3 linked regions of the Drosophila melanogaster genome follow. The protein of the gene in region 1 interacts with the protein of each later gene in a pairwise test. Each region holds a gene or a part of one and is shown on either strand. Other genes may lie near its edges.

Region 1 (4,717 bases):
CTAAGTTGTTTAGAAGACTTTGATCACTAAACATATTCTTTCGTTTTATTTCTAATAATTTGCCATCGCTTATATGGCCAAACCTCTCATGCCATAAACGAAAATTATTTTTATGCTTAGCATTTATAGAATATGCTTGAAAATTGATCACAGGTACATTGTTTAACATACCTGAATTTTTGACAACCATTAACCCATTTTTCGAAATGGTTACACCGCTTTTGTCAAATTCGATCGACATTCCTGCCTCTTGGAGACGCTTTACGGACATCAAATTACCAGCAGCTTCCTTACAAAAGAGTACATCCTCCAGTGTAATCTCATGGTCATTCCGTAGTCGGACAATACCACGCTTAGTGGCATAAATAAATTCGCCTTGCTTGGCCACTGCAATCTTAAGTGGAGGCACAACCTCCACACTGTCGGTATACAGCGACTCATCATTTATAAGATGGTCACTAGCACCAGAATCAAGGACAAACCCGCAGTTGTCCATCACTGAAGTATTATTCACTTCTTTTACCATAAACGCAATGCCGTGTGATGTTGCAGTTTGAACTTGTTTTTCATTTTCTTTATTTTTATTATTTAATATTCTTTTATAATGGAAACAATCTTTTTTAATGTGGCCTTCTCTGCCACAGTGGTGACACTTGACTTTATACTTTGAATTTCCCTTGAATATTTTCTTTGGTTTAGTTACCCGATTTTTAAACAAATTATTTTTATAAGTGTTATTATTGTTGTGCACGATCGCGTTCATAACTTTCTTGCTTGTATCGTTGTGGTCATTTTTAATTTTAATTTCTTGATCCAGCAATCTATTTTTCACAAACGCCAATGTCAAATTTTCTTCAGATAATGTCTCTATCGCTGTAATAATTCCATCGTAACACGAAGGCAATGTGATCAGTAGATGAGAAATTTTATCCATCTCTTCTATTTTTGCACCAGCTGCCAACAATTCACTTATAAGTTCGTCAAAAATATGAAAATGGCTTAATAGTGACATCTCACTTGATAGCTTCAGAGAAAGCAAACGTTTTCGCAGCGCCAGTTGCGACGCCAAACTTTTTCGTTCATAAACGGCGTCCAAATTCTCAAGAATCTGACGCGCCGTAATGTCGCTTGTTGCGAAATTTAAAAACGAGTCGCTTAGGTACTCTATTATTGTACTTTTTGCACAACGCTCTGCCTTTTTCCAGGAGTCATCTACCTCGTTAGGCATTAAACCATCAACTACTTTAAGCACATCTTGCTCGGCTAAAAGAGCCCTAATTCTAAATTTCCAAATCGCGTACTTCTCGCCATCAAACGGCTTAATATTACGTTTAGCCTTGTCCATTTTTCACTCAAATTCTGAGAAGGAAATAATTTCACAAGAATGTGAAAAAAAAAGCTATTTCACAAGAATGTGAAAAAATGCTATTTCACAATTTATTTTCACAATCTTTAATTCACAATTTAATTGTTTATTAGGCATGGACTGGGCCCATAACCTGTTGTAATTTATAATTTATATTTCCTTTCTTAATAAATAAATAAATAGTCAAGTTTATGTTTGAGTTTTATGATTTATATTTTAAGTTATTTCAACTGCAACACCAGCACCACGACCTACTCACAGCAAAAAACGTACAAGAAGGAAAGAAGGAATAAAAAGAGTGGTATTCTCTTACAATATGTTTTATGGCATAAAAGGTGTGGCCATTCATATCAAATATAAAGTAGTGTTGTTTAACGTTATTTTTGTAGGTTGAATAGTATATTCCAACAGTTTTAAACCAATTAAAACAGTAGGGGAACAACACTGATTGTTAGAAAAGCTGACAACTCTTGCCCAGACAACTCTGTCAAACAATCGATAAATCAGTCACTTGGCTCGGCTGTCATTACGTAAAAAACCATATAGTTTTTTTTCTGTGCTGCTTGTGAAGAAATTGTGTTCCACTAACTCTTCGCCTTACGCTAAAAATGGCTGACCCCAATTTGCACGACAATCAAGTAATAAAAGGTTTGTAGTCTATAGAATATTAATAAAAATTGAATTATTATCTACGCTTTTACTTTAGATGGTGAATCTTCCGAAAGCTGGCCTGCATTCAATAGGAGGTTGGTTTAGGTACATATATTCTGCAGAACTTAGTAATCCCATATGGCTTTTCCAGGAGCCCGAATCCCTCTTTCTCCAGCGTTGATCAACAAGGAAATAAAACTAAGGCACGAAGGCAGCACCAAAGCCGTTCACATTCTTTTCACTCAACAGCAAATAGTGTTCCTGAATCGCAGGGACCTCTTGAATCTCGATCTGATCTGAACGCCAAGACATCATCGAAAAGCGAACGACCATATATTTCCACATCCAATTCAAGCTGGACCTCTGAATCCAGCTCCGGAAGTCCACCAGATTCAGGAGAATCGTCTTCGTTTTCGACTTCATCTTCGCTTTCATCATCATTATTATGTGCTCCAGAACCGAAATCTATTAACTGGAGCAACCCGAAATCTTCTTCAAATATCTCAAATGAAACCACAACTTCTGCGGGACAGGTTGGCGGCATTCCGAGCTTTTCAGAAAGTGATGACCAGGGAAGTGTCGACTCTGAAACAGTCTCTAACATCAGAAAATCAACTTCCCTCATAGAACTTAAAGACAATTTCAATACAATCATTGACGAAGATAATAATCAACAGCTCTCTAACGAGGGCAACATATTGTCCCCTGGGACAGTTTCTATTTCCAATTTTCCAAGCTCGAATGAAGTAGCAAATGGATTGATTGATGAGATGGAACAAGACCTACTCTCGAAGCAACATTCTACATCGACCCCAATAAATAAAAGTAATACAATGGAAAAAGAATTGCTCCCATTGCAATGTTCTTCATTTCCACCGACATCATCCGAAGGTAATATTTTAAAACCCAGGGTCAATCCTGTGCCATTAGGTCCCAGCTCAAATACAGAGTATGAATCAAATGGAAAAAATTACAACATTGAAAAAAGGTTGTCCCAATTGCGATATAGTTCAGATGAAAAGGAATCCGATGTCTTGTCGTATGCCTCTTCTGATAGTCTCGATTTAAATTTCGATTACGGTGATAATGCAAAGAATCAAAATGGAAATGGAATGAATGGAGAGGTAAATGGTGATAAGGAGTCGCAAGTTCTTGATATAGAAGAACAACGCAAACCTTTTGAAAAAGATGTAGCAGTTAAGTTCCAGACCACCATAACAACCCAAAATTGTGGACTTCTAAAAGGTCCATCGCAGTTTCTGAAGATGCCTTATTTCATACCCGTGGAATCCAAGGCATACGTGCCTGAAACCTTTCAGGATCGCATGACTAAGAATGATTTGAAGGACGAACAGTCACGCGAGGATTTCATAAATCGTCTAAAGGCAACTGTTAGGTGGCGCGAGAACGAAAACAAAACCAAGGAGTCCAATGCGAAAATTGTTCGTTGGTCCGATGGCAGCGAAACCTTTCATGTGGGCAACGAGGTTTTCGATATGATGCATCACCCGGTGACCGTTAACCAGAACCATTTGTATGTTCGCCTGGGCAGCTTCTACCAGCCTCAGGGTTTGATCCAGAATAAGTTGACTGTGCGTCCCATGCTGGACTCCAATTTCGGACAGAGTCATGTCCAGGCCTTGCGTAATCGAGCCACGAATAAGCCACAGTCTGGGTGCGTTAAGGTGATAACGAACATGGGCTCCAATCCCGAGCACGATCATGATCGGCGCATGAAGGAGGAATTGTCCAAGCTTCGCCAGGAGGGTCGTGAAAAGAATCGCGCGCTTATGAAGAATCATCCTCCGAAACGTGACAGGCACTATCAAGGCTCCGATCACAATGTGGCCAAAAACGCAGGGGCATTCGAAGAGGACGACGGTGAGGGTGCAGATTGCGAGACAAGCTCTGCATTGGAGGTTACGAATGAACCAATGCGCAGCGAGGAAGATACCGAAGATCATATGGACGATGATGCTTCTTGGAGCTCACCCAATTCCCAGGAGGAAGGAAAGCAATCGAGTTCCGAAGACGATCTCCCGATCGGAGGTGCTATCCGCAAGCCCACGCGTTTGGTCTATTCCGGATCAGATTCCGACTAAATATTAAATAGCCGCTAGATACGAAATCTCAATAAACATGTCATTAGCCAGCACGCAACAAAGCGTAGAGCCAGGAGTAGCTGCAACTGATATTTAATTAACAATTTCTCGCGCCCACAGTGGGTGTACGGCCATTGCCTTAATTAGGGGGCGTGGCAGCTGAGGCAGGCAGACATTGGTAGTCGGCGCAGAAATTGCTAAAGGTCACAATGGGGTCGTGATTGCAGCGCGGAGCACTCTAACCCAAATGCCATTGTCCGACTGCCAAACTGGCCGGCATACCAACGCCCAAAGCAATTAATGGTAGGTGCATTGGATTGCTGCCTGGTGTTTTTGGGAGATTGGACTCGTGACTCGGTGGGTCGTATGTGGGTTTTGGGGGCGGCAAGTGGGTGGCTTTCTGGTCAGCGGCTCAGTCGGACTTTGCTCTTTGATTCCAGCTTTATATTTGTCACCGCCATCTCAGGTAGCCGAAATAAGATACATACATACTTAGCTTGTTAAAAATTTGAAATTAATAAGTACTTTATTTGTTAGCAAAAGGCGTTATCCTGAAAATAGTTATACATTTGGTTGTTAACTATGATTATTTTGTCTC
Region 2 (5,462 bases), 6.3 Mb from region 1:
CATATATTATATTGCTCAAAGTCAATGAGGACTTAAATAATAATAATTTTGACAGTAAACCACAAATAATATTTTCTGAAACTTGTGAATTTTGTTAATACTTATGGTCAAATGTAATGTCGGGTCTACTATTTAATTTCCAGTAAATTTTATTTCTTAACAGCCTGTTAACTCCGGTGCATTTACAGAACTCTGCCCACTTAACAGCACGCTCCGTAATAGTTGGCAACTCAATGCAACACGTGTGGACGATAAACAGCTGTTCGGGCGGCAATTTAGTGGAAGCGAAACAAAACCAAATTCGTTAACTAAATCTTAAAAATGTCAGCTAATAAGCAAAAGAAATTGAGTACCATGGAGGTGGACCCCAACGAGGATGTCTCCAGTTCCAGCGAGGATGATGACGACGACGAACCGCATCCAGATGCCTATAAGGGAAACGAGGTAATCTAAGTGCCTCCAAAATATGAAAAGCAAATGTGTTTCAAAATTAATATCCGGCTAGGAGGTGCAAATCGACTTTGAGGGACGAGCTCCAGTAGATCCCGATGCCCAGGGAATCTCTCAACTCCTGCAGCGACTATTCCTTCGTGCCCACATCAACTGCAACCAAATGGCGGATTTGATCATAGGTGAGCACTCCAAGGTACTATCTTGATCTATCTATCAGCACAACTTTTTTTGTTTCCAGCCCAAAATTTTATAGGCAGTGTGATCTGCCAGTGCGACGACGAGGGCACCGAAAGCGAAACGGAGGACGACAACATGGTCGAGGATGGCACCATCTTTGGAATCACCTCTGTGCTGAACCTGACCGCCAAAAAGGATCAGCCCAGCATCGCCCAGTTAAGGACCTACATACTGGATCGCGCCAAGACGCACGCTTCTCCGGAGGTTCAGCAGCAGTTGAAGGAGATTCTAGACAGCGAGCAGCGCCATGTGGGATTCTTGATCAACGAGCGCTTTATCAATATCCCTGCCCAGATCTCCGTGCCACTGCTGCAGAGTTTGCAGCAAGAAATCGAAGCCGCCAAGGCCAAGAAAATGAAATACGACTTTGGCACTCTGCTGCTGCTGGTTAAGTTCTACAGGAAAGAGTCGAAGAAGGGCAAACCGGGCGAGGACGTGTACACCAACGCTGAGGATGAGTTGCTTTCGGATCGGGCTAAGTTCTCCTTCGAGTATTCCATGGCCTCTGAAACCGATTCGGGCATGTCTGGCGATTGGCTGGAAGGCGATGCCGTGATGACGCCCTACAGGAAACTCCTGGTCCTGGAGGCCAAAAAACTTCCGCAGCTTATTGACGATATACAACGCTTTATTAATGGCGAATAAATATTTTTTACATTTAAAACTGCTGTGTTATTTGGCCTTAATATAACACCCCGACAAATATCTAATTAAGAAGTAATAATGTCCGGTCTCTAACGACCGATAAGCTTCTATTTCTTTGTAGTCCCATACAAAGAGTATCAAAAATTCGAACCGAAAGCTTTCCACATCCTTTATGACAATTGGCAACGCGGGCAAACCACAAACAGCTGTCACTTGGCCGGCATTTGAAAGCTTCGCACATGCCGGCTGGTCTACTGTGAAAAAAAAACCTGGTTGCCATTCCTTTGTTTTTTGCCACTGGTTAGTTTTGGCCCAGAAACTGCATCCACCGTGGACGTGACTGGCAAGAGGAACCCACAATAACAATTCCGAAGACCGAGCGACGTGAGTAGACTTTGCCTTTATTGTTTACAAGTTATATCCGAGTTCTAGAATTACGTACATAGCGAGCATACTGGCGATTATTCATCGCTCGTGCGATTTGTTTTCATTCGAAAACGCAAGTAGCAATTAAAAAAAAAAAACCTAAAGCCCGGCTCGCTAGTAAAATGTATAAAAAGCTTGGCCACCCAGCCAGAACATTGCAAATCGTCGCGGAGAGCTATCACAATCGCTCCTTATCGCCAGCTTTCCGTTCCAGATCCCGCTCCCAAGTTTCCAGTTTCCAGCTGCAGCGCTTTGTTCCCATCAGGGAGGTTCAGTGACGCCCCACTTGCCGATCAACCAAGTCGCGTGAGCTGCCTGCGAAAAAGTACTCATCATGGGTATCGAAAAGTGAGTATTTATTACCAACAGTTATTAGAGGGTGTGTTTTAAGTTAGCGCGGATCAGTTATCTAGCCACCGCTTAGCGACCGATTGGAAAAGCTCTCAAAGATTCGCCATCTTTTACAGTGAGGGTTAGTCGCTTAGCATCCATCAATTGCTATCTTATTTACCTTTCCCATAATTCCAAAACGAAATTAGAATGTTTTTAGTACTGCATATCTCAGCGTTTATCAGTTTTAATTAGTTGCCGGCAAGGAATAGATGTCATGAAAATTCCAAACTTTATCTTTTCCCAAAATAAAAACAATGTTTGGCGAAATACTGTATAAAAGTTAAAGGGGGGAGGTCACTTAATTTTATCATTATTACTTAGATAACGAGTTCTTGCTACTTCTGGAAACAGATATATATAGATCAACTTTTATTGTTTGATATGGGGCACTTCAAAAGATAACACAATTAAATGGTCAGCGACATAGGATTATTCTCCAAAATATTATAGACCCAGTTACCTAAGGATTGGTATTTAGTAGAAACACTTGAATAAGATTACAAATATTCTAAATAAGTACTTTAACACCATTTGTGCTAATACTTGGTACACTTGTTTCTAAATTGGAAATCGGTTTGTGATTATGGTCATTTCGAAAGCTTATCGCGATTCTTTATAGCACTTCGAGTTAAGATAAGCCCAGCGCCAGGAATGAGGGTAAACGAAAGGGGAACACACTGAAACATGGCCATGGTTGCTCCTAATACAGTGGGGACATTTTCTTTTGAAATAATAAATTGAAATACAAAGGCAACAGGCTGTTATGCAATATGAACGACTGCATCAGTTAATAAAGCAAATGTGACGTGATAAAATTCAATTCAATTAAACGCTATTGCACATTTAGTTGACACCCAGAAATGTTTCTTAATGAATACCAATAACGATTCCGTTGCGCACTTTAACTCTACTCTACGTGTGCCCCTCCAGAATTCTACCATGCACCCTCCGGCTGAACAAGCTGATGAGTCTGGCCGGCAACGACTGCCTGTGCATCATCGATCGCAATGCGGTTCCCAATGAACTGAAGGCCACCTTCGAGGAGCACCGCAAATTCGACAAGTCCTTCGACAGCAGCATATCCTGCTTTAAGGTGCCCAACGTGGATCAACCTGTGGTCTATGCCCCCGTCTCCGAGCTCACCGACTACGACGATGTGAGGAGCTACCAGGAGGCGGCCAAGCGGTCCATGGAGAAGGTTCTCAAGGTGGGTTTTTTTTTTCTATACATATTGTGTGAATTATGAAAGAAAATGTATATGTATTCTTTGCCAGGCTGGATTCCACACGCCGTTGCTGTTTGTGCCCAAGGTTAAGCGCTTCCCCGAGGTCGAACTCTGCACCGTTCTGGGAGCTCTGGAGCAGCTTTATGTGGTAATATGGATTATGTTTACTTTTATTTCAATCAATGTGCTAAAACACGTTTTTTAGCCCATTCAATTGCGCGAGGCAGGAACTTTGAAGGACCCCCGTGTGACCACGCTCAGTGTCCAGATCGATGATCCAAGGGCCGAAGCTATTTTCCAGGAAGCTCTCATTCTGGAGGCCGGTCGCTTTGTGGCCCGCGACATCGGAGTTGGGGACCCGGAGCGCATGACGCCCATCCAGGTGGAGAAGTACATCAAGCCGTTGTTCGACAAGCTCAACGTGAATGTGATCAGTGACACCCAGGTGTTGCAGAAGGAGTATCCCCTGTTTGCCGCCGTAAACCGGGCTGCTGATGCAGTGGAGCGTCATCGTGGTCGCATCATTTTCCTGGAGTACAAGCCTCCAAAGCCGGCGAGAAAAACTCTGATGCTGGTCGGCAAGGGTGTTACCTATGACACCGGTGGTGCTGACATCAAGGCCGGTGGTGTGATGGCCGGTATGTCGCGCGACAAGTGTGGAGCGGCTGCTGTCGCTGGATTCATGCAGGTGGTCAGTCAACTGCAACCGGATGATATCCATGTTGTGGCTGCCCTGTGCATGGTGCGCAATTCCGTGGGCGAGGAGTGCTACGTGGCCGATGAGGTTATCACCTCGCGAGCTGGTCTTCATGTGAGGATTGGAAATACTGATGCCGAGGGTCGCATGTGCATGACCGATGCCCTGTGCCGCATGAAGGAGTTGGTCGTGGAGCAGAATCTCCCGGATCCGCATCTTTTCACCATTGCCACCTTGACTGGTCACGCCTTCATCTCGGCAGGTGAGGGTCAGTCGATTGCCATCGATAACAGCGTGGCCCATCGGGAGGATCACGCCAGAAGACTGCAGGCTGCTGGACAGGCCTTCGGAGAGCCCTTCGAAGTGTCCATTCTCCGTCCCAGTGACTTCTCTTTTAACGCTGGAAAGGTGATTGGCGAGGATTTGGTGCAGGCCAATAATGCCCCGTCGGTGAGGACTCCTCGCGGTCACCAGGTGCCCGCCGCCTTTATGATTAAGGCTTCTGGACTGGACAAACACGGGTTGGATTCAATGCTGCCCATTAAGTACACCCATATTGATATCGCCGGCAGTGCCGGTGAGCACCCAGCGATGCCCACAGCTGCCCCTCTTGTTTCCCTGGTGAAGACCCATCTGCAGAAGTAAATCATGTCCACCTAATATTCAGGAGGATGTGTACACGATCACCACAAACAGTACTTATACACCCACGTGCTTAGCTAACCAACAATATTATCCTACTAACTGCATCACTGTTTTTTAATAAAGGCAAAACCGAGTTCAGATTGTATTCATAAATGTATGTCACTAATTTGGTAATCGTTTACAAATAAATGTGAAAATGATTTGTTTTTTTCCTTAAGCTTACAAAGCAAATATCTCATTATATTCATCAACATGGAAATATAAACATTATATCATCCCATTATAGAGAATAACCACCCTACATATATTTGTTAAGTATACAAGAAAGCCGCGTGGGTATTCGGTCTTTTTTATTTCTTTTTTATTATTACTGCATTTCCCAGCTGCATTGTTTGCATAATTGGCGGGTGCCCTGCATTTCGAGCTCTTGTTGGCCATCTACGGTATGGCTCGTACTCCTGCTCTTCCCCTTTCGCAGCCTTTTCTCTTCAGCTTTGCAGCGCCTTCTTTTTTTGTAGCTTGGCCCACAGCCTAGAACCCGTTAGTCGCTTCTTGGCCATGCTCTTCGCTTTGGGCCCCGTTCCCGGGAGCTTGGCCCAGCAACTTGGCGTGGATTGGCTTGGTTGGGGGATGGGGATGTGGATGGGGCCCGCTTGTCAGCTGTCGCATGTGTCTTGGTACCGTTATTGCCTGGCTTTGGAAACTCGGTCAAGAGTGTCTCATTCATGCTGTGATTGCATA
Region 3 (3,563 bases), on another chromosome or scaffold:
GGCATGGGGTTTCCTGCCAAATCGCTGCCACAACAAATTCCGAGCGTCTGGCCAAATGAAATAGGATTCCGCAGTGAACCACAGTGGCGGGGAAAGTAAAGTACAAATCGTGGCTCGAAGGAAACGTCATAAAAATTGTCTATTTCTCGCCGGCAAACGTATACTTGAGTACGAGTATATTCTTGCTTGTGTGGGCAGGTCCCTAGAAATGCCTTGGAATCGTCATGACAGCTCTTGCCAGGATTGCCCCAAAGATGCTGCATCACTTGACGTGGATGGAGAAGTGGAAGGGGAGGTGGTGCCGGGTGGTGGCCAGGGCGGAGTCACTTCTTCAGTTTGAGCCTGTTGCCTGGCAACTTTTGCTCGACTTTCGCAACCAACGCAGAAATCAACTGACATTTCGGATTAACTTTCGATGCTAAAATTCAATTTAAGTAGATGTTTTCAATAATTATTTTTAACGAAAGCGAACAACACTGTGGAAACCAGTTAAGACATTTATGGAGCATTCGAAATTTGTTTTTATTATTTTAATGGTCATCAGATGGAAAATTTCCACCAAGCATTTTGATATTTTTATTTTCATAACATAAGCTTCTGAAGTACATCCAATTAAATGTTCTTATATTGTTCTTTAATCGGTAGTTGTATTCATTCCCACACGCTGGACCTTCTAGAAAAGCAATGTTATATACAAACGCATTGTCATAAATTTGAGAGTGCTTTTCCGAGACTCACCAGCAGAAACTTGTTAGCCGAAACGTGTGGGCGTGGACGTTCCCGCCTTAATTTGATGTATTTGTCGACACCAACGTAAAAGATGGCGTCATTCTCCTCGCGGAGTATGTAACCCTCACCGCGCTCCAAGCTATCGTCGGCTTTTTCCTCTCTGTAGCGATGGTCGGATACGTAAACCTTTTCGGTAGAGTCCGCAATGTCCTGGACGAAACTGAAGTTGATCAGACAGCTTCCGCAGTCCCTGATTAGTCCCTGGTTGCTATTTTGGGGTGGATTATCAAAACTCATCTGGACGAAGCTATATTTCTGCAAATCCGTATCGGGAAAGACTGGCAAGACCTGCACAGGGTAGGCATTGCTACCCGGATTGGTGGGATGTCGGTAGAGGGGTTTGCCAATATCCTTGAAGCTCGCATCAATCATCGCCTTTTGTTGCTCCAGGCTGACCGGCTGCAGGTCTTTTGGGGCCTTGGGCACCGCCACAGAACGCTGTAGTCCTGGGAGAGGTGGATGCACTCGCTCCTTGGCGAACATCTTGGCGCATTCCTGAGCGCGACTTGGTTCGAGTCTGGCGAAGTCCCAGTCTAGGGCTCTTATGTCCTTAAGTAGATCAGCTTCTCTGGGATTCATTGGCTGCACATTCTCGGAAAGCTTATCGTAAGCCGACTGATCCATCAAATTAACGGAGAATAGCTCATGAAGTCCTTTGAAATTTAGCGAAAAACAAGTGTCCAGTTTGGGAATCGAAACCGGCTCCTTGCAGTACTCCTGGATATTCTGGCCACAGGGCAGAAACTTGCAATCCTTTGGATAAGTGGGCAACTCATTTGTGTAGACAATGGGACAGATGAACTGATTGCTGAGAAGTGTGTGTGTTTTTTTTTTTTTAGTTGAAATTGGGTCCTCGAGTTTGAATTGACAGGAAGAGATTCCCCATACTTACTGCGCTTCATCCCGCTTGCGCTTATTGTTCACGAACCCAGATGCCATAATGGAGGAGTTTTCTGATTTTTTCTTGGCTCTTCGTGCACTTCCCTGCTCTGCCTGCTTTCACGTTCCAAATGCTCGACAAGTTTTCCGATTTGTGCTTCGTCAGTCACTTTTCACTCTGACAGACCCGTCAGCGGCAAGTTGACAGCTCGGCGTGGAAAAACTAGGTGCCGATAGCGTCTCCTGGTGGAAGTGGATAGATTATCGCCTGTGGCTAGAGAGTGGAAAACGATGAAAACTAAACTTTAATTACATTTACACAACCGTGGAAAAATTTAAAAATATATTTCATTCATTTCATTCATCATAAACTATCGATAACTAGTTGTGCAATAGAAGCTCACTAAGGAGTTGATAAACTAAAAGGATTTCGATAGACCGAAGCGTGTCCTTAATAAGTTTTAGTTCGTCGATGTGCCCACCTCAAATTGACTGGCTCATTGACATTTACCCCCATTTACCCCCACTTGCCCCTCGTTAACCCCCACGAACATCCGCAAGATGCGGGCCACTCGGCCATAATGGACTCTGACTTGGCCACCTTAGGTTTTGGCCAGGGCTAAGCTCATTACGTGCCACGCCTCCAAATACAATTGCAAACTGTTGTTGTGGTGGCCGAAAATGGAAATTCTGCACTCGGAGAAATGGGAAAGGATTTGAGGCGATACTACAAGTATGAGTGATATTACTTCTTAAAGTTTGATTGGTATATACATATATATCATGGTAGGGATATATAATAACTGCCCCCTTCCAACTGAAATACATATGAATAATCCGGACTAATTTGCAGTGTAGATGATGGAGGGTGGCTCATGGTGTTGATAAGAGTGGTTGGAGTCCTTCTCGTGGCTCGTGCCGAAATTAATTGATGCGACAATGGCTGAGCAACGACTAACTTGGGCCTCCAACTCAATTCCGGCCGCCACATCACGAGCTCATCATCATCATGGGTTGCGAGGGGGCAGGCAAATTAAGAGGATGAGCAGGAGGTCGAGCAGTAGGTGGAGCTGCTGAGATGGGAGGTGTGGACGCCATGTGGATGCCGCATTCTGAGGGCTGTGCAATTTGGCGTGCGGAATTTCATTAGAGCCGCCGGAGCGGCGAAATCAAAATTTAATTTATGCTGACATTGAAGTGTCTGTGGGGCAATTAAATCGACAGCGGGGCGTGGCAGCCGCCTCCGCCGCCTTTGTGTTGATTAAGTACCGCCGAGCAATATTTTAGCATAATGATGTCCTGGCACGCAGGCTGGGCCTCCACCGTTTGCGTTTTTCAGTGCTCCTGCTCCTTCGGCAAGCCTTTCACTTGAGCCCCTCCAACGGGCCAAAGGATTCGGACCGCCTTTGATGGCTGATACCCTGATGGGCTGATGGTCTGATGATGGCTGCGCCTGATTAGCCGCCCGATTAGCCTTTGTGTCCCGGGATTTACGACAGCTAAGCAAATTTTTATTCGAGTTTTTGACTAATTTGTTGATGGCCTTCGTGATGAACCGACAAACATTTTGGATTGCACATAATCCAGTTAGCGAAAAGGGAGCCCAGCTAACACGCTTGCGTTTAATGGCCGGAAATATGTTACGGGCAATCCAAAAATATATAAATTGATATACTTTATCTTAACGGGGGACACTTCTCCGGGGGATTACACATTTTTAGATGCAATTTGTCTCTGCTATCAAATATATATTTTGGCAAAGAGTAGTTGCTGAAAACATCCTTAGACGACAGCGCAAACTTTACTCAATTTTTTCTTAGCTTAAAGGGGTATTCGTTGGCTAAGTAGCGAATGATGATTTTCCGCAGCTAGAGATACTTTGAAGACGGATCCGC

What was found. The genes of interacting proteins can lie anywhere in the genome.
Region 2: the proteins of CG10887 (region 1) and Dip-B interact in a two-hybrid assay, tested with the Drosophila melanogaster proteins (one large-scale study listed by BioGRID).
Region 3: the proteins of CG10887 (region 1) and CG12674 interact in a two-hybrid assay, tested with the Drosophila melanogaster proteins (one large-scale study listed by BioGRID).

Annotation. Positions count from the first base shown.
Region 1 is NT_033777.3:20,112,965-20,117,681, forward strand, and holds CG10887 (uncharacterized protein), read left to right. Parts: upstream 1-1,873; 5' UTR 1,874-1,974; coding exon 1,975-2,014; intron 2,015-2,072; coding exon 2,073-2,112; intron 2,113-2,168; coding exon 2,169-4,119; 3' UTR 4,120-4,175; downstream 4,176-4,717.
Region 2 is NT_033777.3:13,780,733-13,786,194, forward strand, and holds Dip-B (dipeptidase B), read left to right. Parts: upstream 1-1,555; 5' UTR 1,556-1,719; intron 1,720-1,907; exon of another isoform or gene 1,908-1,962; 5' UTR 1,963-2,095; coding exon 2,096-2,109; intron 2,110-3,084; coding exon 3,085-3,361; intron 3,362-3,428; coding exon 3,429-3,527; intron 3,528-3,584; coding exon 3,585-4,721; 3' UTR 4,722-4,944; downstream 4,945-5,462. Other genes in the region: CG9286 (uncharacterized protein), read left to right, coding at 322-444, 506-632, 692-1,335.
Region 3 is NT_033779.5:2,078,242-2,081,804, reverse strand, and holds CG12674 (uncharacterized protein), read right to left. Parts: upstream 1,887-3,563; 5' UTR 1,729-1,886; coding exon 1,682-1,728; intron 1,598-1,681; coding exon 739-1,597; intron 674-738; coding exon 635-673; 3' UTR 519-634; downstream 1-518.